2 linked regions of the Astyanax mexicanus genome follow. The protein of the gene in region 2 interacts with the protein of the main gene of each other region in a biochemical or structural test. Links are inferred from orthologs where the notes say so. Each region holds a gene or a part of one and is shown on either strand. Other genes may lie near its edges. The genes, in order: trib1 and cebpa.

Region 1 (16,283 bases), on a different chromosome or scaffold from region 2:
CCTGCAAGAAATAACCCACCATATGCATTACATTATGCATACCATTACATGCAAGTAAAAAAGCTACACTTTATGCAATAAAAACGTGGGATTACAACACTCAGATATTAACACAGCACACAATTAACTAGTCTGCCACATATCTTTGCATGTAAACTATTATTACTATATACAGTATTACCAAACATAAAATTGCAATACTTTAATTTATCGATATTTTCCAGCACCCCTATCGAACAGGGTGTTTACATTGACTCAGGCCTGATGCATCCTATAAAACAGCTCAAATTTTTTGGATTAAATAATATTAAACATTGCATTTACAAGATTATACTGATACACTATATTAAACAGATGTCACACGATACTAATATGATCTCAATTGGTTGAATCTTCAACTCATGAAAGAAGAAGCTACGACACTGACAGTCCTGGAACAGACAGTTCCTGCAGCAGACAGAGCGCAGTAAGTAGCAGAACAAGTGGAAGGCAGAGCCGAGTGTAATTATGGCTTTGTTTCAAACAAAGACACGTACAGTGATTTCCAAAGCACCCACATACACAAAGTCTGTAAATCTCCCTCGCTCTTCTTCCCTCGCTCACACTCTCATCAACACTTAGCTATGTTTAGCCCCATTTCCAGTAGGACTCAATCCTCCTCTGCACTGACCGGATCCCTGCGGACATTAACAGCAGCTGGGCTTTATCATCTGTGTATGTGTGTGTGTTTCTGTACGTGTGAGAGAGTTTGTGTGTGTGTGTGTGTGAGCACGCCCAGACAGACCTTGTGCCGGTATCCCCCTCAGCGAGAGCTGAGCGTATTGTGTTTCATCACTGACTGTCAGGCTCACAGTCTGAGGGGTTTGCAGATGACACAACAGCATAGCGCCAGAGAGGTGGAGAGAATGAGTCATAGCGCTGTGTGAGTGTGTGTGAGTGTGTGTGTGTGAGAGTGAGTGAGTTTATGTGTGAGTGTAGGAGAGAACTCACTGTACAGAACTAACACTGCTCTGTCCTTAGTGTGCTCACTGCAGCTGGGTCCATGCTTTCGGCATCTGCCAGGGTTTAATTACCCTAAAACTTCTGCTGTCACATCAATGACGCATGAACAGCTCCGGCCCGGCTTGCCCCCCCTTTGCAGCTTTAATGTGGACACATTCCAAGGTAGTGTGTGTGTGTCATGTGTCTGTGTGTAAATTAGGGGCTGCAAGATATGGACACAACATCACGTCACACTGACATCAATAAGTATCGTGGAACACCATCTATTGCAAAATCATTGTGCGATCATGTGCATGTATGTACATTAATGCTGTACCATATAATATACAAAATATCATTATATACTGAAATTAAATCATTATTTTAGTATATATTGAAGTCGTGTTAGTACCTTCAGGCTGCATGAAGAAAACACCATAACACAATAATATCAATATATGCTATATTGTGTATAGAGTACTGCATCATTACTGCAGTTATGTGCATTGCAATATATTAAAGGGTTAACTTCTTAAACTCTGTTCGTAGGCCTACACTTCTTCTACTACGATTCTTCCCCCTCACAGCTGCACTAATCTGGCAATTAACAGCAATTCCAGAGACCCTAAAATAGAACCCTGGTGGACTCAGACAATATGCTACACTTTAACCCAAAAACCCACTACAATCAAGTTCAGTAATACAGTAAAGGTTTAAACATTAATACGGAACTGCCTTAAAGGATGTGTAGTAAAAACTGTAATAATTCCTTCTGCATGACCTTTCAAAGCTCTCTTTCTCCCATGTAATTAAACAGGCCGGTTTATAATGTGTTAAAGCCTGATCTAACTTCACTATTTTACAAAACTGGGAAGTGTCAAACAATTAAAAGTGTCTTATAGTACTGACCTAAACCATAATCTATGGTTCACATAAATGCCATACTACTGTTGAATGAAATATGGTCAGGTGTGGTCAGGAGGGTCACAGCAGAGTAGAATATATCTTGTTTGTTAGGATTTGTTTCTATTGTGCAGCCTTGTTTTCACATTATCACAATAGGGATGTTTTTTTGGAGAACACTAATAGGAGAACAAATGCAATTTTATACAAAAAGCGGTGTTTTAACATCACTGTGTTTATCTCACCTCATGGTGTCTAGTACTATTTACAATACTAGATTATTTATACTATGTATGATCCAATATCTGGTTTGGTAAATGAGTGCTTAATGATGTTAAATCATGTGAGCTGGTGATAGAATTTTAGAAGTTTTATTCAACTCTTTAAACTAGCTCACAATATCTCAACTACTTTCTTTAGAATTTGATGTTTTAAGTACTTTCACTTTTTTACTGCATTTAATATTATTTGATCCCATTTGCTTTAGTGTTTCCATGAAAAGCACTCGTAATGCTGTGAAAAATGGTTTTACTTAAGGTAAAACTTAGGTGCTAAAAGCATCTGAACAGTACTGTACTGTATATGTTCATGTTTTTGAGGTTTTGCCTCATCTCATTTACCACTGTTTTGACTTCTTCTGTCTGCTGCTGCTTATCACTTATCATCACTTCATATCATTACCCAAGCTATTTGAGGTATGGGTGTCGCAGTCGCATTATCTCTGTCTGTTTGTTTGTGCACCTGAGCATCATCGTTCGTGCGAAGAAGAATTCCATGTGCATGACACAGACAAAAAGACAAAGAAAAAAACAATAAAAGAGAAAACAGGATGAAAGCAAATGTGTGTGACAGGATCTACGAAAGACAAAAGCAGAGTCCTTCACAAAAGCAGATTATTCCTCTTTTGTGCAGTTTTGTAGGCTTTGTTGCTTTGCTTAGCACAGAACAGGAAGAAAATGTTTTAAAAAGGGTGACCTAGCTGCGGCTTTGACCCGCATCTCTGCCCAAATGTCAGCATACTCAGGTTATGACACTGTCTGGGTTAGACAGGTCGGATGGGTGAAGCTGGCAGCGGGGTGTCGCAATGTCAGCAGCCAGTTCTGCTGCTCTCTGTGGCTTATTTCTGCCTTTGGCCAAGGAATTGAGAGCCTGCAGGTTGAGGATCCAGAGCGGCAAGTCCACAACCCCCCCTCCGCCAAACCCACCCACCCTTTGCAATGGTATGAGTCATCCTGCTGCACCCGCACCGCTACAAGAGCCGGGTGACTCTGGCCTCTTGCACATGCCTGTCCATTTCTATTCACTCACACTGCACCACTGCCCAAAGGTCGCGTTTGAAAATGCTGCCCCAGAAATGACAAATGTATCCACACTCCTGAACGCTAGATGCGTACCCGTTCCATTTTACCACGGGGCATAAGCTTAATGTGGAGAGCTTGGGTGTAGAAAAGTGTGATACGTTTAAAAACTACTACTGTACTCAGGGGGGCATTAGTTTAAAGGACAATAGTATTACATCACTGGTTATTGAATAAAAAAATCTATAGCAAAAGAACTACTCAGAAACAGTCGGCCAGTTCTTGTGTGTTTTGCATTGCAAAACAGCACAGAAATTTAGGACAATCTGAAGGTGTAAGAAAATATCGATATATCAAAGTATTGTGATATATTTTTTTCATAACACATTTTTTATTTTTAATTATTAGTTCATTTATAAATATTGGTGGCAGACAGTGGTTCCTTTTGTGTTGTTTTTAAACCCCAAACAATATAGAGCAGTGTTGTACTCACATATCACATATATAATATATCTCATTATACTATATATCGTAACCACTGTATCGTGACTACCCCCTCTAAAACAAACCGGTCAGTTCATGTGTGTTTGCATTGCAAAACAGAAAACAAAATTTAGAACATTCTACAAGCTATTCTCTAATGAAACATGAACAGCCACAGTTCTGATTTATTCTGCGCTTCCTCTTCTGCAGAAACATGAGTAAGTGCCATAGTATAGAGATCCATTTGCTGAAAGGCTCCGCAGAAGCACCTGTGGTGCATCACAAAGGCAAAAGGAAGTGAGAGCTGAATGAAACCAGAACTGATGCTCCCCTCTCGCTCTTCTCTTTGCTGGGAATACTGCAGTCTACAGCCCTGAGTGACCACAGGCTCTCCTGCTGCACCTAACAACCCCCACCTGCACATCTAAACCCAACACCCCTCCTCCACACACATACAATGGTTGGATAGGTTGCTTTTACACAATGTCAGAATAGTGTCAACAGGTGCAATAGGTTTATTTGCTCCAGCGAGTCCTGTTCTAGCGGCAATAATTCCCTACAGGAACTAGATAAATCTGTGTGTATGTGTTTGTTTGTGTGCCACTGTGTCAGCAATGGGTGCCTAACCCTAAACTTAAACATAAACTTAAACCTTATCTGAACCCAAACCTTTTAGGACTGAGGACAAGAAGCAAGTCCCCTCTCTAGAGCTATTTTTCAAGTTGTCCCTTCAATGCTGTCCCATCATTGGACACTGACAGGGTTCTCAGAGATAATAATACAATAAAAACACACAAAGACACTCACAAACTAATTCTCAATCTTGCAGCCATCCTCACCTTTTTTCATCTGAGAACACGAACTTGCGGAGCTTGAGGTCCCCCAGCACTATGCCAGCCTGATGGCAGTGGGAGACAGCCGAGGCCACCTGATAGAAGAGCTTGGCTGCCTGTTCCTCAGGCACCCGCTTGCAGCTCTTCAAAAAGGTGTGCATGTCACCATAGTCCTTTTCCTGAAACACATAAGCCTTCCGCTCCCCGAGGACAATGTCTTTGATTTGGGCGATGTTCCTGTGCCTTGGCAGCATGCTGTAGGCCCTGATCTTCTCTTGGTACTGTCCCATATTAAACACCTGTAGGTTACAACATAGCACTGCTTTTATTTGCTGTGGAGGCAGAGTCAGGAATAACAACAACACATGAAGCAATCAAATGATAAAAAAAATGAATGCCAGCTCAGCAAGGCACTGCTTAACCCTTTCAGCCATGAGAATGTCAACAAGTCAGTTTTCTGTGTTTAAATGCCATACAGAATGGATTATGTGCTCAAAATAAAATACATATATATATATAAGTATATATAAATGCCATATACAATAGGCACTGGCCTGGTTATATCATCAGTGTTAGCACTGGTTAAACTCAGCTAAAACCCCTCGTTTCTTCTGTGCTACATTTGTAAGTGTCCTCAGCAAACAATGAAAAATGAAAAAAGAAGGGGTTAAAGAAAGACTTTAAGCTAATTCTCTCCCTCTCTCTCTGATGTATCTGTAGCACAGGGTCGATGCCTACAGGCTGTAATTTTAATGCACTCTAGTCCTGTAGCAAGTAAATAGGCTCAGATCACTCATAATGGGAGCCAATGGCCAGATTCTGAAACAGCTTCCCTCTGGCTCCTATTATAAGTGTATTTTAGCCATCAGGTCTTCTAAGAAAAGGGAAATGCATAGAAATTACTGTCTGAGGTAACCATGAGCTACAGCTGTAGCAGACCAGAGTAGCCCCCTGTTTCCAAGAATGAACCATGTTTCCAAGTAGTTTGGATTTTCAGCTAAACTTAAACGTAATATAGACTCTTAATCAGCACAGATCATGCTCAAAAAAACTCATCTAATGTGAACAGAATGAGAGACTAACCCTCGCCCTGTCAGATGGAGACAGCTTACTGTTGAAGGCCAGGCTTAGCCTCATCTGCCTGCCTGCACCACAGTGCTCATCAGCAAGTAGGGATCAATGACTGCTGGCTGTTTAATCAGCCTGACCCCACTTCTCCATTTATAGTGTAAGGCACAATGTCTATTTCTGTTTGTGCACGACGCCAGCCTTGGTTTGCCTGAAATATTTTCTTCTTTTTCAGCTCTCTGTGGCTGACGCATGCAAATAACTCCTATCAACACAATGGAGGGTGTGAAGTCTCACATTTAGTGGTAATTACACATCGCTTGGATCTGCTGCAGCCTATATGGGTTGCATGTGTGGCTTCTAGGTCTAAAATAGACCTTGTTATGCAGTGATGCCTGCGTTTAATGCTTGGCAAAGCAATATCACTAAGATTAGAGGAAGCATGCCAGTCTTTGCTATGCTTAAAGCTAAGGGTTGGAGAGTTTGAACTGCATGGAGTAGCAGGCAGGTGAAATGACTGTGTGTGAAATGCTCTGAGTGAAATGTTCTGAGTGAAAGGCCATTTTACACACATTGAATTTGCTCTAGCCTATATCCTTTATGTGCTAAACCATATGTGAAGATCCCTACCTAAAAAAAAACGAATAAAAAAACGGAACTGTGCCATGAAGCGAATTAATAATTGTTGGCAAAGCAATACTGCTGAGCTAAGAAGAATCTGAGCAGTTGGTTCCACAAAATGCTTTGGTTTGAAGCAGAGGTGGATAATATGATGGTAAAATGTTGTTATTGTGACAATATGGTTTCTGAGCATTCCATGGCTACTGACAGTGCATAGTGAACAACTCAATTTGTGTGTGTAATTAATTACTGATGGCATAATTAGTCCTGATTAATTGAAAGCCAATTGCATCTGTTGTACCGGAGCTTTTGATGGTTTTTAAATCTGGCACCACCAGTGCATGATGATTATGTATCAAAATTATGCATATAATTATTGCCATACACAGTTTTTCACATTGTGGGATAGCTTAAATCTAGCATGAGTGCCTGATGTATAAATGACGAATGAACTGACTTCAATCAAATCGATTTACATTGATTTCTATTGGAAGAGATTTTTGTTTGGGATCGTTTGGACAGATACAATATCTCTTTGAGTATTAGGATATAATAATTTTGCAATATTGCCCAATCCTACCTACAGTGTGAATCACTGATTGCACAGTGCACACCTCAAACAGTGATGTGTGCAATCAGGCCTTGCTCCATGTAATCAACCTTTTTATAAGGAGTGTAAGAAACAATATATTTACAGCTCTTGAAAAAAATAAGAGACCACTTACAAATTATTTTACCATTTAAATTGATTTTACCAAATTAAACCTTTGAAATTAAATTAAGATTAAACCAAGTTTAACTGCTTACATTTTTGCATTTTGCATTATTTGAGGTCTGAAAGCTTTGCATCTTTTTTGTTATTTCAGCCATTTCTCATTTTCTGAAAAAAAAAAATGCTCTAAATGACAAAATTTATATTTGGAATTTGAGAGAAATGTTGACCGTAGTGTACAGAATTAAAAAAAAATTAATTTTACTCAAACATATACCTATAAATAGCAAAATCAGAGAAACTGATTCAAAAACTGAAATGGTCTCCAATTTTTTTCCCAGATTGATTCAACTGATCAAACTGATCTCAACAACATAGTATCAATATTCAGACTGCATAAAACAAACTTTACTCTTCCTCAGAATATGTATATTGTGGTGTGTATTTATACTGTGAGAATTTCCATGAAATTTCTTTCTATTGTTTAAAAATTGTGGTATTCTGGTTTGTTTGCAGCATTGCAACATATAACACTATCGTCATGTATCATGATATTTATTGCAAGGTTCTTCCCACTCATACAGCCCTGCAGTGTATAGCTAGAACTGTTTGCACAGTGTATAGATGATTCAATGTATATATGATATATGATTCATCATATGATTGAAATGAATGAGTGTATACAGTATATACGCCTATATATATAACGTTGCACCTTATAGATAGCATATATATAGAGTGCATACCTTATTCACCAGATACACCAGAGTCATTTTAATGCATAGCATAAATGCATTACTACACTTCATTATCATAATGCTGATGTTTGATCCGCTCAGTGCTGACCAGGAGTCAGTCAAAACACTAGTTAAATAGCTGAGCTCACCTTGCACAGCAGCTCCTCTCCGGTCACTGTATCCAGCGCGCTGTGGAGCCCTGCCCGCTCGGCCAGGGGCAGCAGCAGGAAGCGGCCGATTCGAGACGGACCCTGGGGGACCGGGGGTGACCCCGGGGAGGCTCCGCTCGGAGGACATCCCGGAGAGGGCACGAGGGCAGCGGGGTCGCCCGCAGCCGCCTCGTTCAGCTTCAGCCTGGGGCACTTAGCCACTGGCTCGTCGCTGTCCAGGCGCTTGTGAGCGCGTCTGCCCGGCCGGGCGCAGGTGGGCGCCGGGCTGCTGGTGGTGGTGGTGCCGCTGCAGCCGTGCACGACCATGGTGGAGCCGAGGGGGTAAAAGAGCGGGTGAAAGAGGGGTAAAAGGGGGTGGGTGTCAGTCCTTGGAAAAGGGGGGTATTCCGTGGTGTCACATTCACGACTTCAGACAGTCATATATTCCTGCAGAATAGAGAGGTTAACTAGCTAAACTAACTTTTCTCGCTGAAAGACAAAAAAAAGTGGAGTCGAGTCGCAAAACAAAGCTGTTTTTAGCCGCTTCAGCGGGTTCAGTCCATCACTCAGGCCGAGTCTGGAGTGTGTGGACGGACAGCTGATCCCAGGAAACAAAACACAAACAGAGACGACCTCCAGAAACCCCCGGTCTCCGCAGCCGCTCCGTTAAAAAGCCCGTGTGATGTTGAAGCTCTCGCACACGACGACAGCTGGAACTCCGCCCGCTTAGAGCGGCGTTATTATTTTTCGAACGCACCCGTTTTGCGGTACACCCCGCCCTCCACGCAAGCGGATTGGCTAGCAGCGTCCGCCTCTCGCACTGGGATTGGCCGGTAGTAGTTCACACGCACCTACACGCACTTGTAGTACTAATTACTAGCGCTTTTCAATAAGGTACAGAGCAGGAGGCTGGATGCTGCCAGCCAATAAGAATGCACAAGAGGCGGGGTTTGCTGAAAACGGGTGGAATATAAAAATAAACCACCTAACGCCATTCAGCTCGCTTTTCCCATGTCACATAATGAGCTCAGCTTGATTGAGCAATCAGCCACACGTAGCCAAGCAGAGTCGCGGTGAATGACAAAACTCCACTTTCAGTTAGATTTTTTTTTTTTTTTTATCATTTTCATCATTTGGTTCTGCTGCCACTCTCAGATAGTAATAATTATGAACTGCTGCAGGATGTACAGGATTTATCTGACACGCTGCTGCTGCTCCTGCACATATCCCATATCATGTATCTCACAGGAGAACAACATTAACAACACTGAAGCCTGCCTTCATAACACACAGCTTTCACTGAATGTGTTCCTCGTGGAAACACGTGTGTGGCACTGGGGCAATGATTAACCTAGTTTATTTCGAAACGCACTGCTGCTCTGCTGTTGTTTTTCTCTTCGTTAATTCATCATTCATTCAGATGCGGCACAGCTTTCAAATTCTTTAAGGCGTTTTCCGTGATTTCCAGCGCTTTCCTGCCTGTGTACAGTGCATCTGTTTTAAAGGAAACTGCAGCAATGGTGGACGTTAGAGGAATGTTTAAGCGATGCCTGTTTGTTCATGTGACTCATCTCTGCTCTGAGAGGAAAAGCTGGGGAGTGGTGAGGTGCCTTTTGTAGGCCAAGCGCTTAACATGGTTCAGATCATAGACTGTATATAGCTGGACAGAGCATCGTCTCTTAAAAGTGAAGCCACCACAGGTCGGGCGCCCCCTGCTGTTCGGCTGCAGAAAGCTGTGTAACTCCACCCATCCCCATAGGTTTCAATGGCAAAACAGACAACTTTCAATCACGTTTTTTTCTAATATACTGTAATTCTACCTCCATTATTTAAATGCAACAGCTAGTGTAACCTCTGCTTATATTGTCAAATTTTTATATCCCCACAGAATTCAGTTTTTAAAACTTTATTCGGCTCTATTCAAAAAAGGTGTGGTTATGGTAAAAGGGCTGCTTATGGGCGGGACCAATAACAGACCGTCAGCTCCGCTCCGCCCCGCTCTGCAGTCTGTGACCGCGAGGCAGCCCTCAGGGGCGGGGTTATTTAAATGAGTAGGCGGTCTCTCCACAGCCTTTCTCCCTCCTCTGGTCTCTACTGTGCAGACTCTGGTCTCTGAATCGCCAAAATGGCGGAAGATTTTGGCTTCATTTTCATTGAATGAATGGGAACGGCGACACGACGTCCATCTTTATATACAGTCTATGATTCAGATGGTTTGCATGGCTTAAATCAGGGGTTCCTGATGTCTGTGCAGGAGACCCTTGCATGGAGGCCCTGCTTAATTTTAGGAACTGATACACCCGATCCACTTGATCCAGGAAGGCCTTAGCAATAAGCTGATGAGTTCTGATCAGATCATTTTTGTTTGGACAGGTCAGTGTTTTTACAGATTGTGAATTGGCCCAATTAAAGGCCCATATCAAGACAGGACAAATAGACAACAAGACCGTATGTAATATTTTGTAGGATCTTTTTTCTCACCCACAGCTCTGGGAAAAAATGAGACCACTTCAGTTTCTGAATCAGTTTCTCTGATTTTGCTATTTATATATATATATATATATATATATATATATATATATATATATATATATATATATATATATATATATATATGTTTGAGTAAAATTAACATTGTTGTTTTATTCTATAAACTACAAACAACGTTTCTCCGAAATTCCAAATAAAAATATGGTCATTTAGAGGATTTATTTGCAGAAAAGGGGAAATGTCTGCAATAACAAAAAAAAAGCAGAGCTATCAGACCGCAAATAATGCAAAGAAAACAGGTTCATGTTCATAAAGTTCAGATATAAAGAGTCATAAAGAGTTCAGATATCAATATTTGGTGGAATAACCCTGGTTTTTAATCACAGTGTTAATGCATTCTGGCTGCTCTCCTCCACCAGTCTTACACACTGCTTTTGGATATATTTATGCCACTCCTGGTGCACAAAAAAAACAAACACTTCAGTGTGGCCTTTTTTTATTTTGTGCAGTTTTTATTTTTTTAACCTATGTAGTTGTCATGTTCCTCCTCAGTTTATTAGAAAAAAATGCTCTTAAATTCATTTTGCGAGCATATGTATGTTTAAATTGTTTTTTTGAGGCTATTTAAAAACAATTTTGGAGTGTGTTCTATAAAAGTGGGTTGCAACTTAATGACCATGAGAAAATTGGTCCCAGGCTGAGACCAATTGAGAACCCCTATGCTAAAACATAAAATTTTCACTTGCCTCTTCACTGTATTATATTTATTCTAATGAGGACAGCCTCCATATGTGCACAGTGGATGACAAGTCATATTGAGTAAGGGCAGCCTGGGAATGAATTTGGTCGCATTGTGTATAATCAAGAAAGAGTAGGTTGGTGCATCATACCATATTATATCATAGCATCATGCACAGAACAAATGTCTTTCAAACATAACGAAACAGCTTACATCATCAGCATCTGGATTTCCAGAATAAAAATATGATTAATTTACAAATAAAGTTTGCCTACTTCTAGGTTTGCTTCATTTTCATGAAAAAAAAAAAAAAATACAGACACATCCACATGTGGTGACCCAAGAGATCTGGCGTGGTGAAATGCATTGAGAAAAGTGCAAGTGGACTGTAAGTTTATTGTTAGAAGCAAACCAGCTTGAGTGACTCAGCCAAATAAGTCACTATGACCTGAAGGATCACGAGTGTGAATCCCAGGTCATTCTGGGCTATCAACGTTGGCATTTTCTTCCTTATCACTCTTACAGTCATACTGGCCATCACAGGCATCTGTTCTCTGATGTATCAGAGCTGGTCTCCTGGAATTGGGAGCTTTTTTTCCGAGCATACTGACTCATTGGCAATAGTTCAAGTGATAGAGAGAGTCCCAATGTGTGGGTGGGTTAAATTGGTTAGCTAAATTAAGAAGTTAATTAAAATGAAAAAAAGAAATTAAATAAACCTTGCTGTGCTTATGTGTAAATAACTTTGCTCTGATTGGTTGATCACCTGCCTTGTAGTGTGCTGCAATGTATACAAAAGAGCTGTTTTTGCAGTTTGCAATGTGCATCCTTTATATTACATCATAGCTTTTTGAACCGTATTATTGCATTAAGACTTGTATGTTTAGCTGTAGCTGTGTTTTAGATATAAGGTTGGAATGTTTTATTCTAATTCTAACACTCAAGCCAAGCTCAATGTGTATTAAGCATATATTAAAACATGTTATTGTATATTATATTATAATATATTGTATTGTTGATTGTTCTAATTAACTGAATTCAGAAACATTCACATTAACTATTAACATGTATTAATATTGTAACACCACAGACTGGAGTGAGACATTTGCAGTTAAAAAAGTCTGACTTTAATATACAGGGCAGAACCAAAGAAATGCAGCCTGATTACAGCCTAAGGTAAAAACAGAACCAAAAAAGAGGGATAAATGACAGATGAAAAATAAGGGTCAAAAACAGAGCAAAAATACCAAGGTAAACTAGCTAAAGGGGCCAGACAAAAAAATAGGTCATACACAGAAATAAACAAAGAAATAATGCTTGGTATGCAGCTGAATCAACAGGGGAAATACTTCAAGACAGGCTGAACAAACAGAGAGGTATTTCTAAATGGGAGGACAGCTGAATGGAATCAAAACTCAGGTGATGCTGATCTACTAATTAGGTGCTGATAGGCTGGCTGAGACACATGACTGAGAAGTGCATTCTGGGGGTTAGAGTTCATTAAGGTGGAAAAGTTTGTTATTGAGGACTTGGAAGGTGTGACAAATGCCTCTTTATTTTGCTGTTTTGGAAAATGTACAGAATCCACACACCACTGTATCATTGTTTTAAATGCTATTTAGATTTAGAAATATTAACTGCAAGGACTGTGAATAGATTAGGACATTTTATCACTGTAACAGCAGTTATATAATTGCTTTATTTAAAAAGTACGAAAAGCTTCCACAAAAGCTTCCAAAACTTTGCACACTATGGGTCCTTTATAGCACTTGTGATGGGCTAATGGTGAACACTATAATGGGCTTGGCACCAGATAAATCTTTGTTCCAGGCTGTTAAAGTGTAATTTCTGGAGCTGACACACTGTAACCTTGGCTGGCACATTTAATTGGAGAACGAGAGTGTGACCTAAATCAGGAAGTGCATGTCAAAGTGTTTTGAAATCAGAGATGTATTGGCCCACATGGACTGTTGACCAGGTTTTTAGACGTCCTGCACGAACCTTTGTCCCCGTTTCATTGGCTTCTACTGGGGAAAGGATTAATTGGACAGGCACCTGTTTGCTTGAGCAGAAAGGGCCACTGTCTTCAAAGTATTCTGTTGGGAATGCAGTGTGTGTGTGTGCGTGTGTGTGTGTGTGTCCAGCGAACTTGTTATATCACCAAGTCCATCAGAACCTAATTTGTTTGAGGAGATGAGACTAATGAGGCTTTGCATTTTTTGATTGGATCTATTGCACCATTAAAATGAAAGATTTATTGCTGACTTGGTGCTGAAAGTACTGTTATGACAGGTGGAATCAATAATAGAGTGAAATTAAAGAATGTGTCAATAGCAACTGTGGGCTAGGGGTGTGCCATATATCGTATCGTACACAGTGATGTTTGTATATTTTTGAAACAATAAAAAAAACATGTCATAAGAGTAGTTGTATTCTTCTATTTTGCATTTGTTTTGCTATTTACTGTGAAGCTTTAAGGGTATATATAAGTGTTTTGAATCCATATAAGTAGGTTGGGTAATTGGGGAGAAAATGGTATAAATTTTTTTTATAATTGCTATAATTATGTATAATTGTATATGTTTCCAGGTTATACTTATTCACAGTGTATTTTGGTCTTGGGTTTGTATTGTGGTCAATTTGTTTTTGTTGCATTACAATATTTTACATTACATCATTTGTTGTATTACATTATTATTATTATTGTTTTATACCAAATTAGAGTTTTACATACTGTTGTTTACAAAATAGACAAAAGTTTATAGACTCTATTTCTGTATACTGTTGTGTTGTGCTCATATATTCTTGAAATCACTACAGTATTTTTCAGTGTTTTTGCCATATAACTTAGAACAGTGTTTCTCAACCAGGGTGCCGTCTGGCTTCATCGGGGGTGCCGTCAAAATATTGCGCCTCACGTGCATATTTCCTTTCCAGAGTCAGCTCGTGTCGGGGTGTGTCCCAATTCACAGGCAGCATACTCTGAAGGATGCGACCCACAGAGGCGGTGTATTACTGCGCAGCTGTGACGCAATCTGTCTTCGAATACAGCCTCTGAAGGATGCAGCCCCTAAATTGGGACACACTGTAAAGTTTTTGTCCCCCACGCGATGCACGCGCTATTTTATTCCGCCAGCAACACCCCTCGTTCTCACCTGAAGTACTGCGCCAGCACCCCCCCCCCCCCTTCTCACCTGAAGTACTGCGCCAGCACCCCCCCCAATCCCCCCACCCCCCCGTTCTCACCTGAAGTACTGCGCCAGCACCCCACCCCCCCCCACCCCGGTAAACTGGGGTGCCGTGACATCTCGCATATATTTGAAGGGTGTCGTGATAGAAAAAAGGTTGAGAAACGCTGACTTAGAATGTCATTATTACAAAAATACCCTGAAACATGTTATTATAAGGTTATTTTAAGACCATACTGCCCACCCCTACTGTGAGCTATGTTTTCTACTGTATGTTCAAAGTGAATGCAGGACAATTGACCTTTTTGTCATCACAATGCCACATGCTATAAAAGAGCGAGGGAGCAGGTTCTATAATTGCTGCTTGCAACTGTTCCTGGCCGCCTTCAGCGAACACTTTACAAACAGCTGCTGTGGAAATGAGCCGTCAGGCTAGAACGTGGTGGGAATATTGCCATGAAAAGCTAGTTTATTTATAGTAGGCATGTTTTCAGTGATCTTTTCTTATAGATGACTCAGGCTGTGATATGTGTATTGGTCATACAGTAATGCAGGCAGAACAGGTTTTACGCTTCTGTTTTTTTTTCCTTCCCTCGGTTCTTCTGTGTAAAGCTTTCCCAGACCTGCATGGGAAATGTCGGCTTCCACATTGTTGTGACATAAACAGGTGTTGGGAGAAGTGTTTTGGGCAGCGTCTGTGTATATTTGTGTGTGTGTGTGTTCCAGTGAACCTGGCCATTTGAGATAATTTCCACTCGGGAGTCCTGTTCAAGGTTCTTTTCCACTGTAATTAGCTGACTCACTCACTGCCAGCAGTAAAGAGAACCTGCTGATCATGCTTTCCACAGAGTGGCCAGGCACCAGGCAATTGAAGCAGGTGTAAGTTATTCTCTACAGGCAACGTACACTGAACGCCAGCGATGACTAACACCAGCAGATCCGGCCTTGACAAGACTGATGCATCATAATCATAGCTGAACTTTAACCATGGGCAGTTTTTGTCAGAGGCAATCAAGAAACTGGGAGGTGATCTGAATGCTGAACATTCCTCAGCTCAGCAGGTGTTCTGACAGGGGTGGCTTTATGTAAGAACGCTGCTATTGACCATAATACTGTCATTCAGCTGTGTCTGAAACTGGAAGTGATGACAGACCATGAACCTCAAACTGTTTTCCTGTCCTCTTTCGCCTGAGTACAATAGAGCTGTTAAATGTGCAAATTCCACAGCCTCAGATTGTATTTTCCCCCAACTTTTGCGTACAAAAAGGTCACTATCTAGTGTCTAAATGCAGAATTTACTACTTCAGAATTTAAACAATGTAAACCATGTAACCATGTAAACCATGTAAACAATGGTGGAAAGGCTAAAAGCTAAAGCTAGGTGAGCAAAGCAAGATCAGATGCTGTTACCCAAGTTAACAACTAGCAGGCAAAGCAAGCAAAGGACCGATGCTGTTGATGAGCTTTTGGAACAGCTGAAAGATAGCACTAGGACTAAAGAATGAACTGATGCTCTTATCTGGAGGTTTAAGAGTGAATAAAAGCTAAAATGCTATTTTTCAATGCACTGGAGCTTTTGGCTAGACTAAAAGCTAACACTATGCCACTAAAGCAAGGACTGATGCTCTTATGTGGTACACTGGAAGATTTAGAGAGGCTACAAATTGAGACAGAGTGACTGAAGCAAAGATGAATGCTATTATCTACTGCACTGGAGCTTTTGGCTAGGCTAAAAGCTAACACTAGATCACTAAAGCAAGGACTGATACTGATACTGTTATTAATCAGAATGCAACTTTTAGAGTAGCAAAAAAGCTTACAGCAGGCAATCAAATCAAGTTATTTGGTGCAGTGCAGCTTTGGAATATGTATATGTATTGTGATATACAGAGGTGGGGGAATCCTGAGTTCGCCCCACGCCATGTCGCACAGCCCCGCTCTGTCCCATCTGGCTGCCTAATCAGTCCAATGCATGACAGCTGGGACAGACCGGGGCTGTGCGTCATGGTGTGGGGCAGACCCAAGATTCCCCCACCTTTGCAAAAAGACTGTGCCTCATCCTTCACTTGAGAGAGATGGCA
Region 2 (15,881 bases):
AAGTAGGTGCGTGCGGGTGCATTCCTCCAGCACCATCATTCTCTCCTGCTCATCAGAGAGCGTGTGGAGGGCTGATTTACTCACTCAATCACACTCTGCTGCTTATTGTGTTCAAACACTGTGAACGGCAACAGGAGAGCCGATGATCAAGCCTCCACAGGTTCCACACATATCCTTCTCTCTCTCTCTCTCTCTCTCTCTCTCCCTTTCTCTCTCTCTCTTTCATGCAAAGCTCAGACTACACACCATTTTTTGTCCCTCACAATGTTCACTAGGTCAGATTAAGCAGTTATCTTTGTTTTGTGTCGTACTGGCAGCACACAGTTCGTAGGTCATCGCGGGAGAGGAGCATAGAATCTGACAATCATGGCTACCGAAGCGCTTTGAGTGATGGTAGTGCTTTTGTGCTTAGAAAAACACAAAAAGAAGAGGAAGAAGCAACTGTGGCCTCTTTCCTGGATGACCCAAAGAGATCATCAAGGGCTTTGTGTACTCCAGAGAGAACTTGAGGTATAGTAAAGATGTAGCTACTTTAGCTAGGTTTCAGTGCATGGAAACAGAATAAAGGAATGAACAGAATAAATAAATAAAGAATATAAACAGAATAAAGGCAGGGTATTGATGCCACAGCTCAACAAACTTTTATTCTGTTTCGCTGGTCCAGAAAACTTCTCTTTGACTACAGGGGTTGGACAATGAAAATGAAACACCTGGTTTTAGACCACAATAACTTATTGTCCCGACGGACAGTTCTGGTGGAAAGAGGAGAGTTGAGGTGCACATTGAATTCTGCCGTGATTTGATCAGCCGTGGTTTTAAGTTTTTTTGGAAACAATCCGGGTTAGCACCCGAACATCCCTTTCAGACAGCTTCCTCTTACAGCGTCCACAGTTAATCCTGTTGGATGTGTTTTGTCCTTCTTGGTGGTATGCTGACATTACCCTGGATACCGTGGCTCTTGATAAATCACAAAGACTTGCTGTCTTGGTCAAAGATGCGGCAGTAAGAAGTGCACCAACAATTTGTCCTCTTTTGAACTCTGGTATGTCACCCATAATGTTGTGTGCATTGCAATATTTTGAGCAGAACTGTGCTCTTACCCTGCTAATTGAACCTTCACACTCTGCTCTTACTGGTGCAATGTGCAATTGATGAAGATTGGCCACCAGGCTGCTCCAATTTAGCCATGAAACCTCCCACACTAAAATGAAAGGTGTTTCAGTTTCATTGTCCAACCCCTGTATGTCATACTACACGGATCCGACGAAATCGGGCTAAATTCGTGTAGTCTGATTCGGGCATTAGGCTTAATTCTTTCTCTGTCTCTCTCTCTCTCTTTCTCATACACACTCACTCACTCACTCACTCACTCTATCTGCCTCTTTGGAGTTGCTGTGCTTATCAGTGGTGTTCAATTGTTGATCATACTCTGACAAATTGATCAATTCAAAGATGAAGACAAAAGCCCCAATCAATCACTGGTGTTGACGAACGGTCAGGAAGATAGCGGCTATCAGCTCCGCCGATGACGCAGCAGTGTAATGTGTGATCTACAGCATATGTAAGAGCTGATAGTAAATATTTGTTATAGGGGATGATTACCACCGACACACTCAGGAGCGCTGACTGCGCTGCTTAAACAAGATTAAGGGGATTTTAGAGCCTCCAATCCGGTCCAATCAAGTCCAATCACTTTTAGGAACTTTAGAGGCTCCTCCATTTGAAACTATGAATGAACCCCATAGCAGCCATAACAATATATTATTATTCAGTTCAGCTATTGTTCTGTTATTAATCCCAATGCAGAAACAACTGTTAATGAGCTAGTTTCCCTCAAGGTCTTGAGTCCTACAGGGTTCAATTTTAAGGCCCTTGAAGAAATAGATGATACTTATTATTAACAGTGTTGTTATTGGACATGTGGGTTTACATAGAGGGTTAAAGGGGTTAAGGTGCTTTGAGGAATCTCTAAAAAAAAAACCCAAGGCGGAGAAGTTTTAGAGAACTCCATCTTCGTTATTGTTATGTGGATTGGGGAAAATTAGTTTTAATAATAAAAAAACACTGATGTCACAAAACACACCTTTCTGCTATTGCACTATTGTCTAGTGTCTCTTGTCTGACATATGTCTGTCTATAAACTTTCATTCTTTTATGATTTATAATTGTATTTTGCAGTACTTTAGTCAACTATTACTTTGTTTTTTTGTTGGGTGTTTTTCTGTAACTTTGGGAAAGAAAGTAACCAAAGTTCTCTGTAATGTACATATCATCGCTGTCCAATGAAAAACAAGTACCTCCATTTTTGCTGATTTTTAGTTTACTACAGAATTTGAACAAACTGTCCCTTAAACTGTCAGAATGTCTTGATGAACGGACCAATAGAAATACTTCAAATTCCCTGAAACTTGAAAGTCAATTTTACATTGACTTCCATTGAAAGTGTAGAAGGTTTTTTCTCTTTCCTGTAAAGTCGCTGTTTTGGAGATACTTGCTTTTCATTGGACAGTGACAATATGCAGAATTGACAATGAAATTTCTTAACTTGATAAGTCATAAAACTACAACGTATACACTTTGATATCAGTAGCTTTCAGGCTGTTCAGAACATATGAATATGAATATGAATGCATGTAAATGCTGCTTGTTCTATTATAAATACATAGTACGCTATTTTGATTCCCTTAATTAAAACCCAGAATTCTTGCACGGAACACAACTTTTAAGAAGCTGTATTAGAATTAAACTTCTACCCTGATGTCTCATTTTATGCAAGTTTTTTTTTTTCCTTTTTGAGTAGGGAAATGGGTTTCAAATGTAAGTTACTCTGCTAATCTCTGTGTTGACTGAAATATTTTTAACATATCAGGGGAGAAAATATCTGTTTTGGAAAGCAGTCTTTTCTTTTAGGTGGAGGTGGAGAGAGTTACTGTTTTACTTTTTCAAACGTATTTCTGTATTATGCGTCCTTCTTTATAATTTGTGTTTGCATGTGGATAGAAATATATTTTTTTAATGTAGGAAACCAAATCTCAGTTATTTAATACATATCCAGATGTGTCTAAATGTAGTATTAGTGGAAATAGTATTTGTTTTTAAAGGGAAAAGAGAGGGTGATTTAAATGTAAATCTGTAATTCTTTCTAATGCTTATTTCTTTCTATTTTTTTCTAATTCTCTGTGGGGACTAAAATATATGTTTTTAAAAAACAGAGGGATTTTTTGGTTTTAACCAGATATGTGTGTATGTAGCTTCAAGGGAAAGCTGTTTTTTTCTTTCTTTTAGAAGGAAATATGTTGTTTTAAACATTCAGTTTCTTTCTTTCAAAGTTTTACCTCTTCTCTTTTCTGTCTCTTTGTGTAGGTGAAAATATTTTTCAAAATGTATGCAGTGAAATTTTAATTTTCTTACTGCACCTTATTTTTTTAATTATGCTGTACCGCCCCTATTATTGTTGTTTGTGCTTCTTTAGAATAAAAAAAATATCTATCTATCTATCTATCTATCTATCTATCTATCTATCTATCTATCTATCTATCTATCTATCTATCTATCTATCTAATGCTTCTCTCTTTTTCATTTTTGTCTTTGTGTGGACTGAAATTTTTTTGGAGGGAAATGTGTGTATAAAGAATGGAATCTAACCCTTTAGGTGAACACTGTAGAATATAATGATGGTAAATGTAAGAATTGGTCACTTTCTAAGGTAAATGCATCAATTGTTTTTGGTGTGGTGGCTGTGGATTCATTTGAATACAGTTAAAGAGTGAATGTCTGTCAGTTTTGCACACTGTAAATGTGTTGAAACCTGGACCTACATCTGTATCTAGACATGGTGGGTTTTTAATGATACTGCATTGTATTCTTTGTATCAAAACAATGCCAGAGTTACAGAGTTGTAATCAGCAGTGTTTTCAACATGACTCATGGAAGTTAAAGAAGTCAGGCGACTTACAGGCGCCGTCTATTGGCAAACAGTATAACTGCACCTGAGTAGATTTGCTTAGAGGCAAGAGCAACAGGGGGTTGATCCTCAAGAGACTCAGAGTCTTCAGCTTTAGAATCATTACTGTACTGTAACCTTTAAACTGCAACATGCAGGGTCTCCTACAGCATGTTAGCACAACACACAGTTAATAAGTGGTCAAACGAGCATTATAGTAAATGCTCTATTTCTTTCTCTAGCAGTTAACCCCTTAAACTCCTTAAACTGTGTATAAGCCCACAATTCTAATAACAACACTGCTGTCGTAATTATCATCAATTTCATAGCCCCCAAAATTGAACCCTGTAGGTCTCCAAATGATATGCTAAACTAAATGATTACCAAATCATTCACAGTTGTTTCTGCATTAGGATTAATAACTGAACAATTTCTAAACCAAGTCTAGAGTTTGTGGAGTATATATTATTATAATTTTTTTTACTAAACTGGTTCTTAAATATGTCTTGAAGCTGAAATACACAGATACCAACACACGTATCAGTTCAAAGGTCTGTTGACCTTTGTAAGCACTATGGAAGTAAGATAGCAGCAAGAGGAAATGTAACACAATACTCTTTTTATTATAATTTGTAAATTTTTGGCATATATAATGTTCATTTTACAATTGAAAAAAAAAGTATTTTTAAAACATTCATATAACATTTGCAATAGGCGGTTTGTAAAAAAGTGCTTCCTTTTCCTTTGCTCTAGCCTGTATTTCAAAGATTTACAGAGTCCAAAAGATAGAGATAGAAACAGAGAGAGAGAGAGAGAGAGAGAGAGAGAGAGAGAGAGAGAGAGAGAGAGAGAGAGAGAGAGAGGGACATAGAGAAAGAGAGAGAAACAAGTTCTGCCAGTGGTGACATAGAGACAGGAAAAGTCGAAAGGCACTGAAATTCAGTTCATCAAAAAAAAAAAAAAACAATAAAAAAAACAACAAGAACATGAACTGAGCTACAAACAGCACTTCACGGGGGTGGGGTGGGATGAGAAAGCGCAGGGTGACCCCTTCTTTCCTTTCACACTCTTTTATTCTTTCTTTCTCTCTCACACACACACATACACACAGACTCACACACACCCTTCCACCCAGCATCGTTACTGCATAAATACAAAGCTTGTACACATCAGTACCCCGAAAAAATCGTGCGCTCCGTCAGGTCCATCAGTCTGACCACACATAGTGCATATAATAAATCCGCTGCTCTGAAGGCAGCAGTTTAGACCACAGTTTAGAGAGTTTGGGCTTCCAGTCCTTTTGCTTTGGCATGGCATTGGCATCATGTTCAGTCCGCTTTACGTACACATACAAAAACGCATACATACAGATACATAACCCCCCAACCGCCCCAATACCACCGGCCCCCCATAGACCACATCATTACAGTCAAAATACATCCCAGACTACAGTACTGAACTATGGTTCATCTGATTATCTGATCTGCGCACCTTTATTTCTATGTCTTTGCCTTGCAAGTTTTCAACAAGTTTCGATGTCTGCAGATGTTTAGAACAACAAAACAAAGTTTTTTTTTTTTTTTTTTTTTTTGTGCACGTGCATTTTGTGTATTTGTCTCTAAGAAATAACACCAAATAGGCTCGTGCACGCAGAGCAGATTTATCTTTGCAGAAAATAAAACATAAAAAGACAGTCTTGGAGGGGGGATGAAGGTGGTGGGTGAAGGTTGTGGGTGATGGTAGAAAAAGTTGGTACCTTTCAGAACCATGAAGGACGGTTGCTTGAAGTGAAATCATGCCCTACGTGAGCTGCACTGATGATGACTATGATGATGATATGTTGGCAGAAAAGACAACTTCAATACAGCCATGAAGTCCACAAGTTCAAATATGTGCAGACATGAGCTTATTATTATTATTATTAATATTAATATTATTATTAATAATATTTTTTTTGTACAAAAGGCACATGTAGACCGCAGCTGCCTGGCTCGTGTGGAAAACACTTTTTTCAGTATCGTGTCGCGCGTCTTTGAAGTCCATCCGGCGGACGCTGTGAGTAGCGGAGCTGAGAACCGAGAGGGGAGAACCGAGAGAAACCGTCCCCGTCAGTTCAGGCGCAGCCGCCCACCGCCTTGGCAAACGAGCCGTCGGGCAGCTGCCTGAAGATGCCGCGCAAAGTCTCGAGCTCGCGCGTGAGGTGCTCGACCCGCTTGCGCAGGCGCTCGTTGTCCGATGCCAGTTCGACGACCTTCTGCTGCGTCTCGGCGTTGCGCAGCTTCGCCTTGTCGCGGCTTTTGCGCACGGCCACGTTGTTGCGCTCTCGCCGCAGCCGGTACTCGACACTGCTCTTGTCCACGTGCTTCTTGGACTTGGAGCGATCTCCGCTCCCTCCACCACCACTGCCTCCTCCTCCTACCAGTTTGATGGAGCCGCCGTGCTGCTGGTGATGGTGGTGGTGGTGCTGCTGCTGGTGGTGGTGATGGTGTTGGTGGTGCGGGCTGGGCACCGGGGTGGGCGGTGGCGTCGGGTGTCCCGGCGGCTGCAGGTGCACGGCTGTCTGCGCGCAGTGCGCGATCTGGTACTGCAGGTGTGGAGGATGGTGGTGTCCGTGCCCCTGTTGGTGCGCGTGCTGGTAGGCTGGTGGCGGCAGCGGCGGCATTGGTGGCCCGTGGCCGGCTTCGTCGTCCTCCCGCGGCTCTTGCTTGATGGCGAGCGCGGATCTCATGCGCGCCTCGTACGCCGTCTCCAGCTTCACCGGGTCCACGTAGCCGCCCGCGTAGCCGTAGCCGTGCGGCGCGCCGTCCCCGTAGCCTCCACTGTAGTCACCCGCGGCCAGCTTGAGCTTGGCGTCGTGCCGTGCGCCAAGTCCCCCTGCGCCGCCGCCGCTGCTGTGGAAGAGGTCGGCGAGGAAGTCGTCGTTTAGCGCTGCTGGGTCGATGTACGCGCTGATGTCGATGGAGCTCTCGTGCTCGCAGATCTCGCTCAGGTCGTCCTTGTAGCAGTAGGCGCCGTGCGGGCTCGCAGAGAGGGTGGTGAGCGGTGGCCGGGGGGCAACCTCGTACAGGTTGGGCTGCTCCATTGAGGACCTAAACGCCGCCGGCCATGGTGACGAGCTCCGGGAATCCAGTTTAGCGGGCTCTCGCCGACCGTCCGTCCGCGTATAGGCGCGCCAGCCACTCCGCCGGGGGTCCCGCTCAGGTCCCGCTCGCTCTGCACGTGTGAGCGAGCGCACTTGTGTGTGCGTATGGGTAGGTGGGTGGGTAGGTGAGTGAGTGAGTGAGTATGCGTGCGTGCGTGCCTGACTGCTTGCGCGTGCGTGTAGAGCAGCAGCACCTTCTCACTGAGCTCGTGTGCCTCCCGTCTGACACACAGCGAACTGCTCGAGCTTTTTATAGAGCCGTGTGCGCCGAGCTGCACGGCCGCGCCCCTGGTCCTAACGCGACACACACACACACACACACACACACACACACACACACACACATACACACACACACACACACACACACACAAGGGAGACAGAAACTAACGCACACGTACAGCGTGCAGTCCTGGCAGCACCTCATATTCTGAATACGAGAGTCGATTTTAAGCGCATTTACACACACTTACAGAGAGAGATATCCAAGAGATATATGACTTCAGATTGTTCATGCAAATCCCCCAAAAAACACACATCTGTCTTGTTTTAACGAAGCAAATATTATATAGCCTATAACACACACTGTATATTAGCCTTATATAAATATAACTTTCACTTGGAGAGAGTGACACAAAATTAAGTGAGAAAAGAGAGAGGGAAAGAGAGATAGACAGACAGAAAGAGAGAGAGAGAAAGAGCTGCAGACTCCGCTGCAACAGAACGAGTAAGTAAGCTGTATGCCTAACTGCACACTCTGAACAACGGCAACAATCAATATATATAACCACTAATAATAATGATAATACATATATAGGCAGTTTCACAGACAGGGATTAAGTCTAGTCTTAAATCTAGGACTACACAGTATTGTGAATGTAGATTTTCTCTATTAAAAGGACAATATAAAATAGTATTTTATTAGGCTTAATCCTTGTCCAGGCATAAATAAATAGCCTATTGCTTGTATTTACCAATATTTTAGTATATGTACAAAATATATAGCTACAGTCTTATATCGTATATATCTACAGGATATTGTTATAATGTATATGATCTATACATATTTTTTATTTGATCTGCACGCTAATAATCTTTATTGCTAAAAATTTAGATAAAAATTTATCTAAATTTTTGTATCTGTTTAATTCGACTGAATTGTACACTTGATCAGGAACGTGCTAATAAAATGTTTATTAGTTTATTTGTATAGTATAACCTGATCTATTGAAGTTAGTTTCCTTCTATAAAAATAATATAAAATAAATAATAAAAAATAGCAAAAGCACAAACCTTTAAAAAAACATGAACCAAAATGATTCTGCACTGGTTCTTTCGCAGCTGACCAGTTGTACTGTGGGTATCTCTGTCTGATAGTTCTGCAGCCTCACAGTAAAACGCAGTAAAAATGTTCAATGCCAGCTTTCAGCAGTTTAGAACCTTAGAAATCCAAAACGCATTTATAGATGCTGAATCTAATATAAAAAAAACTTATAAAAAATGAATAAACAGTATAATGATGCATATAATGATAAACGTTAATCTAAACTTAAAATCAGTAGCGTGTGTGATATTAAAGCGCACAAAAAGTGTGCGTGCGTGCGTGTGCGTGTGTGTGTGTGTGTGTGCGTGTGTTCACCTTCAGTCTGCCAAATCAAACTCGTCGACAAACTCGCGCACATAGCGCACACACATAGCCTACACACGGTCGCGCGCGCACACTCCCACATCAGCGCAGAGGGCGAGCGGGGAGCTCCCTCTACCGCTACAGCGCGCGACACCAGTGCTTCATTTACATATTAACATACACATCCCACCAGAACGTGAGCTGTTTCTGTAATAACCGGTATCAGACTGGAACAGTTACGGTAAACTCGGAAACACAGCGCACACGAGGAGATCGTTAAATAAAAACATCTTCACAATAACCGGACATTGTGTGGGACACTGTTTTCTGTTTATGTTGAATTAAATGACTTGGCATGATTAGCTAAGTCTTGGTTGCATTGTTGTCTGTAATGAACTTTAAAAAGTTTAGATTGCATTTCATATAAAATCAAGTACATTGTAAAAAAAAAACAATTTAAAGGTTTGAATAGCTGAAAGTTGGTTAAACAAAAAGCAACAATACGTTTTATGTTAACAAAAAATGTAGCAATGTGGAAAAAATATGCATTTGGTGGCCGCTGAGATAATTTACCTGATTGGCCGGCATTCATATTTTGGCTAGAAATGTAAATATGTACAACGTCATTTTATGGGTAAATCTAAGTCATGCTAGACACGTCCAACACAATCTGAACACGTCAGAAGCTGCTCATTAACAGATTTCCTGAAACCACACTGTAGATGGTGAACATAAATAGGACAGATAAAAGGTTTAACACCCTCCAATAAACTGGACTGCACATTAACCCATTCAATAAATTCACTACTCAATTTAGTAGGTTATGCATGATGATGTTATCTTCCATGTATAAAGTACTGGAGACCTGAATAAAAAGTGCAGGTGCTCTATCAAAAAAGTCACTTGAGTAGAAGTTGAAGTGTAGTTTAAGCTCTACAATTAATGTATTTAACATTTACTGTACTTAAGTACTGCAATTAGTTTATTCCAAAATGTAGTACTCAAGTACTAAAAGTAAAAGTATTGTGTTATGTAGTTCTTACAAAAAGCAGTCAAAAGTTTGAATATAATATTACAGGCAAGCAGCAGAGTGAAATGCAGAATTGGAGCAGTGTGGTCTTCTCATAAGACCAGCTTGATCTCTTGATTCACTCAGTGATGACTGATGAGCACCTTCATCAAACCCAGTGACAGTACAGAGCATCTGCCGCTCTGGCTTTAGTGATAATGTGTGTTTGGAATAAGTAACAATGCAGCACATAAACATTTATCAGTGTAAAACTTAAGTACTACTTCATTACTATACATCTCTGATGACTACGTTTTACATTCTTAATATTCACATACATTGGATATTAAACTGTTGTGGTCACAGTCAATAGGAGCTGAGTTCCTAACAATTACGTTAAAATATTAGACATTCTACTAAACAAGTTCTGTTTTTGCCCTTTCTAAAACACGGATACAGCCTCATATTCACGTTACCAGAAAGTGTTTCTAATCAGATTTTTTTTGCCTTAATGTGTATTAGGGTTGAGTGGACATTTCAAAGCCATCCAGACTTTTTCAAATAAGATTTGAATAAGTAACTTTTATATGTGGTCCAATATTGCATATCTATTCTATCTGTATTGTATCTGATTTATTTACTTTGCACACATTACAGGACCCATTAATCAATTCAGATTTTTCGCTCATATTAAAATGGTGATCTTGATGATTCACATTCATTAATGACCCTGACAGAATCTGACTACCTGACAGAATCTGACTCTGTGGCTGTTGTGAAGGAAAGTTTAATTATAATAGTTATTCATAAACAGAAACAACAGGAATCATAAGCATAATCTGTTGTGCCCATACTGCTTACTGACATGCATGCACAAAAAGTTCAGCACAACACTGGTGCTGGCTAATTATGATTAAAGCAGGGGCTTTAAAAAAAAGATGCATTAAATCTGATCTGGGCGTTCACATTTATGTTGTTTCCTCACAAATTTAATATGTATCTGAACACACGTGAAAAGTAGTCAAATCTGATTGTCATATTCACACCGCCCTAAAAAATCAAATCTGTGTCAGTTTGATTTGACACAAAACCTGATTTGAATCACTTCATCCTGGTAATGTCAAAATAGCTTTTTATTTGTGATCCTAGATCAGATTTCTTTTCTGATTTGGTGACATGCGAGATGATTGTGATGGTTATATTAGATTCCATGCACTGAATACACACACAGAATAGCAAAATCACGGTAGGGGTTAGTGTATTATTATATGAATATAATATAATATAATTGTACAACCCAATAGCACTTAGAGAACTCTTACTAAGGTCTCATAACTTAATTATCTAGGACTAAATATCTTCAACTATCAACAGCTACAAGACAATCAAAGCAAAGTGTTTTAAGGAAAGTATTTCCTAATTCATAAAAATAATTAAAGTAGTCAAGTTGAGAACTGCTTATTGGATTTCTGGAAAGCCTATTTCAACTCGTTTTTAAGACCTTAAAATTTCTGAAATATTTAGCATACTCTAAAGTAGTGGTGCGCCGTTCTACTGTGCAGTGACACCTACAAATATATGGAAGATGGAAGAAAAACTTTCCTTGCCACAAACATCAGATTCAGAAGTCTTTAAAAGAACACTTAAACAAGCCTGATGCATGAAAACATGCCCAGTGTACAGATGTAGCAATTTACTGTAATAGATATCTTGGCCAGGGGTGCCTTAACCTTGGCATACAACTGTAATTCACTGCACAGTGAATGACCAAATCTGTCCAGGCTTAACTACACTTACAAAACCCCAATGGTTCAGGGTAGTCCAACTACAGCTTTCTAAACTGCTGATAATGTGACATCATTAGACAGCTAAACACATTTGGATATTTGCAATTTGACCTAATTTTCTCCCCAAATTGTAAGGGCAATTACCCAGTCCCCATTTATTTGAACTCCCTCTATCACTACAAATGCCCCTCAACACTAAAAGGGTAAAGACTTACATATGTCTCCTCTGATACGTGTGTTATGGGTCAGAACCTGCCTCTTATCAAAATACCTCTGATGCAGCATCACTGGGGATGCACTCAACTGCACTCAGAGGAATGTGCAGCACCCGAGCTTCGACACATCAGCTAACAGATGCCTGTGCTGACCAACAACACATTAGGAACGATCTGGGAGAAAGGGCGACATCTACCCACACAGAGAGAGCAAGGTCAGTTGTGCTCTCTCAGACTCCGTCTGCTGATGGCAAGCACTATGATCCAATATTGGAACCAATGATCCTCAGGTCACACTGTCTGCTGGTCTCCCAATTCTCTAATATCTGCTAACAGATGCTTGCACTGTATAGTATTGTGCTAAATGATGGGGCAGAGCCAAATAACAAGACCAAAACTGCTAATATCATTCAAAAATAAAAGGAACTGATCTATTCTCTATGTTATAACAGTGTAGTATAACTTAAAAAAGGGATGCCGGATGGGGCTGTACTATTAACTAAAGCATTAAATTTTAAAATAATGTTATTTGTGTTGAACCAACCCATGCAAGTTACTGATACACATTTGCATAAATATGCTCTCATTAATAATATTTCCTATAATAATTACCCATCCAGCCCCACAGCTGTGCTGAAATTGGTGACTCTAAGTCAGAGTTGGCCCAGTAATGCATACTGGCTGGATATCTGATTACACTAGAGAATGTGTGTTTCCATCCGAATGGGTTTCTAATGGCAATAGGGAAATTCAGAATGTATTGGGGACAAAGTAAAGCATTTCCAAGAGTTATAGAGACATGCCCCCACCATCCCTGATTATTTTTTGCTAATTTTACCAAACTACACACTAGTCTAACCTCATGTCACCACTGTAAACAATAACAAAGGTAAATAATTCTTGATAAAATACAATGCGTTTTAGATTTATATTTTTTAATTTACAGCATTAACAAAGCTCATTATGTCTGTCTAGCATGGCAACGTTTCAGTAGACAGACAAAAATATTTTCTTTTTTTTTTGTTTTAACAGGATAAGCCCACCATTAGAATTTAAAATGAATTATATGGATGAATATAGTAGCAAGCAAGCCAGTTGGTTAGTGAGCAGCCTTTTCCAAAAATATATCACACCCTTATTGGTGGGCCAACCTTAGGTTTCAGAGCTGGTACTCTGTTAAAAGTAGAACTTCTTTGAGGAGGTTCTTCAGTTTAAAGCAGTAGAGGAACCCATTAAGGTGCTTTAATAAAGAGTTTTCTTCTAGAAACCTGCTTTTTTTTAGTCTGTGTTGTGCTGGTACATTTTGATCCAACATAGCTTACCAGCATAACAGCCTGTCTACTGGAATTTTGCTAAAGTATGCTATTTGTTGCAAATTTAACCACTGATTTAAGTGCTAGTGATGTCTGTCTATTCTCATATATTCTGGTTGCCAATCCATTAAGCAACTCCTTAAAATACTAAAGTCCTGTAGAGTGGTTCTGAACCCTAATGCTGGACTACAATGCAATATTGGTATTTTCCTACACCCCTACAGGTCAGTGATACTTCAGGAGCAGAAATAAAAATATTATATAGTGCTGTAAGGAACTTTACACAGCTTTTGAAGGGCCTGTGACACATACATCACGATAGCCTCTTTTGGATTAAGAACAAATGTGATTATTTACAATTAATCACAGAATAGTTTTTAGTCAATTAACATCACTAGAAAAAATCTATAAAAATTACATAAACATAATAGAAAAACAAAAAATAGAAACATATTGCTGGAGTAATGCCAAAGGCAATTTGGCAAAATAAACATAATAAGTCACCATCTGTCACCATCGCAGACAACAGGGAAACAGCTTAAAAATATTTTTATATATACATTTTTTATGGAGCCTCTATGGAGCCTTAAAAATATATATTAATTTGTGGCCATTGCTTATTAAGGCATGTGAACAAGATCCTAATGCATGGGAAAGACTTATTAAGGTGTCAGAACAAAATACAGTGCTGGAAAAAAAATAAGAGACCACTTAAAAATGATAAGTTTCTTTGATTTTACCAATTTGAAAACCTCTGGAATATAATCAAGAGGAAGCTGGATTATCACAAGCCATCAAACCAAGCTGAACTGCTTGAATTTCTTCACCCGGAGTGGACTAAAGTTATCCAAAAGCAGTGTGTAAGACTGGTGGAGGAGAACATGCCAAGATGCATGAAAACTGTGATTAAAAAACAGGGTTATTCCACCAAATATTGATTTCTGAACTCTTAAAACTTTATGAATATGAACTTGTTTTCTTTGCATTATTTTAGGTCTAAAAGCTCTGCATCATTTTTGTTATTTCAGCCAGTTCTCATTTTCTGCAAATAAATGCTCTAAAAGATTTTTTTTTGTCCGTAGTTTGTAAAATAAAAAAACAACGTTCATTTTATTCAAACATATACCTATAAATAGCAAAATCAGAGAAACTGATTCAGAAACTGAAGTGGTCTCTTCATTTTTTTCCAGAGCTGTAATTGAGTCATGGCCGTATAAGTTGTCCTTTTCTTTTCTTTTCTTTTGTCTTGTGGGCTTTCTTGTTATGCTCAGGTGGGTCGTGAGGTGGAAAAGGTTGAGAACCTTTACTCTACACAGTTCACTAACAGCACCGCTCCAGCTGAGCATAATTCACTCTCTATGATCTCATGACTCTCTTGTTACATAAACACGCCCTGAACTGTGTCTCACCGTCTGATTGGTTCAGCGGGCTGTCGGTCAAAGGCTGCATTTCGTCATCCTGCCCGGCGCTGAGCGCTGATTGGCTGAGCGGGCAGACTTCCCTACATGGTAAAAACGATTTCGCAATCCTGCCAGGCACGGCTCAGTGTACCAAACAATAACAGCTCCGCTGATGTCTCTGTCCCGTCAACTAGAGCGGCTACGAATTTACTCACGGTTTTAGTGGATGACTGAACCCAGGATCTGAACCTCGATCAGGTAAGACGGGTAGAAGTGTGTCTGAGGGGAGAAAGAGGAGAAAACCGGAGTGGAATTTTAAGTACAGAGATTCCTTGTAGTCCTATACTCGGTTAGCTAGCTGGCTAACTTGTGTAGCTAGCTGCTTGTTGCTAACCGGACCGCAGAACAGGTTTCATTACTGCTGCTTTACAGCAACACAACTTCTGTAGTTACAACGTTAGCTTAGCTAATATTATATCCTATACTTAACCTCTTTAATGACACTTACTCTAAGATTGGGGACTGTTGTAGGACACTAACTAGCTAGCTAAAAAACACGAGTTAGTTATTAGCTGGCTAAACTAAAGCTAGTTAGCAGCTAGCAGGGCTGTGTCTTTTGACGTAACTAAGCTACTGTATGTAGCTAGCTAGCCGTACTTATTGTTAGGAATGTGGCTAGTCTGCTAGCGGCTAACTGGAATGTAACATAGCTAGCTAACGCTAACTAAGCTAACCAAGTTCATTCCTGTGTTCTGCCGAGTTTTGCTCCAATGTCAAACTCTGCTACTCTAGTGTAGGTTCTATTGAAATGTAAAATAAATGACGTTAAATAAGTTAAATACAAAATAACTATCATAATACGTTTGTGTAGAACATTTGGATAGCCTAAATTAGTGTGTCTGAGTTAATAAAGTAAAGTTCATAATAATAAAAATAATAATACTAAATAATAGAGGTTACAAGAGTTTTTTTTCCTTTTTGTTTTTATATGAACTGCCTGTTATACGTTTATAACATTCTAAAAATCCAAGAAAAATAACAATAAACTAAGGTTGTGTAGGTTAATACACCCGAGTAAAACAGAATTATATATTTTTAATAATTATAAAAATGTAAGGGCAAAGGGTCAGCGCATGCGCAGTGCTGAAGGAAGTGCATATCGATGGGTTGCAGAACTAGACAGAACACCCCTTAACTTGTAAGCAGACAGATATAACTGTTAGACACTGATGTAAACTGTAGTTAGCTAGGTTAGGTAACACGTCAAATTAGTCATTAGTCACAATGTATTATTTACTTATAGCCTAGCTAAAGCTAACTAACGTTCTGCTAAGTATGTTAAGAACACAGTCTCTCTCTCTAATGCTTCATAGCTAATAGTAGGCTAACAAAGTGGCTAGCTAACGCAGCTAGCTAGCGGTATTCCCCGTAATTCCTGTGAAGTT

Evidence for each region.
Region 1: the proteins of cebpa (region 2) and trib1 form a complex in vitro, tested with the Homo sapiens proteins (2 studies listed by BioGRID and IntAct, with this or other methods). The link is inferred for Astyanax mexicanus from reciprocal best matches to the Homo sapiens genes CEBPA and TRIB1.

What each region holds. Positions count from the first base shown.
Region 1 is NC_064410.1:43,224,835-43,241,117, reverse strand, and holds the start of trib1 (tribbles homolog 1), read right to left. Parts: upstream 8,514-16,283; 5' UTR 8,113-8,513; coding exon 7,786-8,112; intron 4,798-7,785; coding exon 4,505-4,797; intron 1-4,504. UniProt on the Homo sapiens protein: Adapter protein involved in protein degradation by interacting with COP1 ubiquitin ligase. The COP1-binding motif is masked by autoinhibitory interactions with the protein kinase domain.
Region 2 is NC_064430.1:12,441,258-12,457,138, forward strand, and holds cebpa (CCAAT/enhancer-binding protein alpha), read right to left. Parts: upstream 7,327-15,881; 5' UTR 7,026-7,326; coding exon 6,057-7,025; 3' UTR 4,546-6,056; downstream 1-4,545. UniProt on the Homo sapiens protein: Transcription factor that coordinates proliferation arrest and the differentiation of myeloid progenitors, adipocytes, hepatocytes, and cells of the lung and the placenta.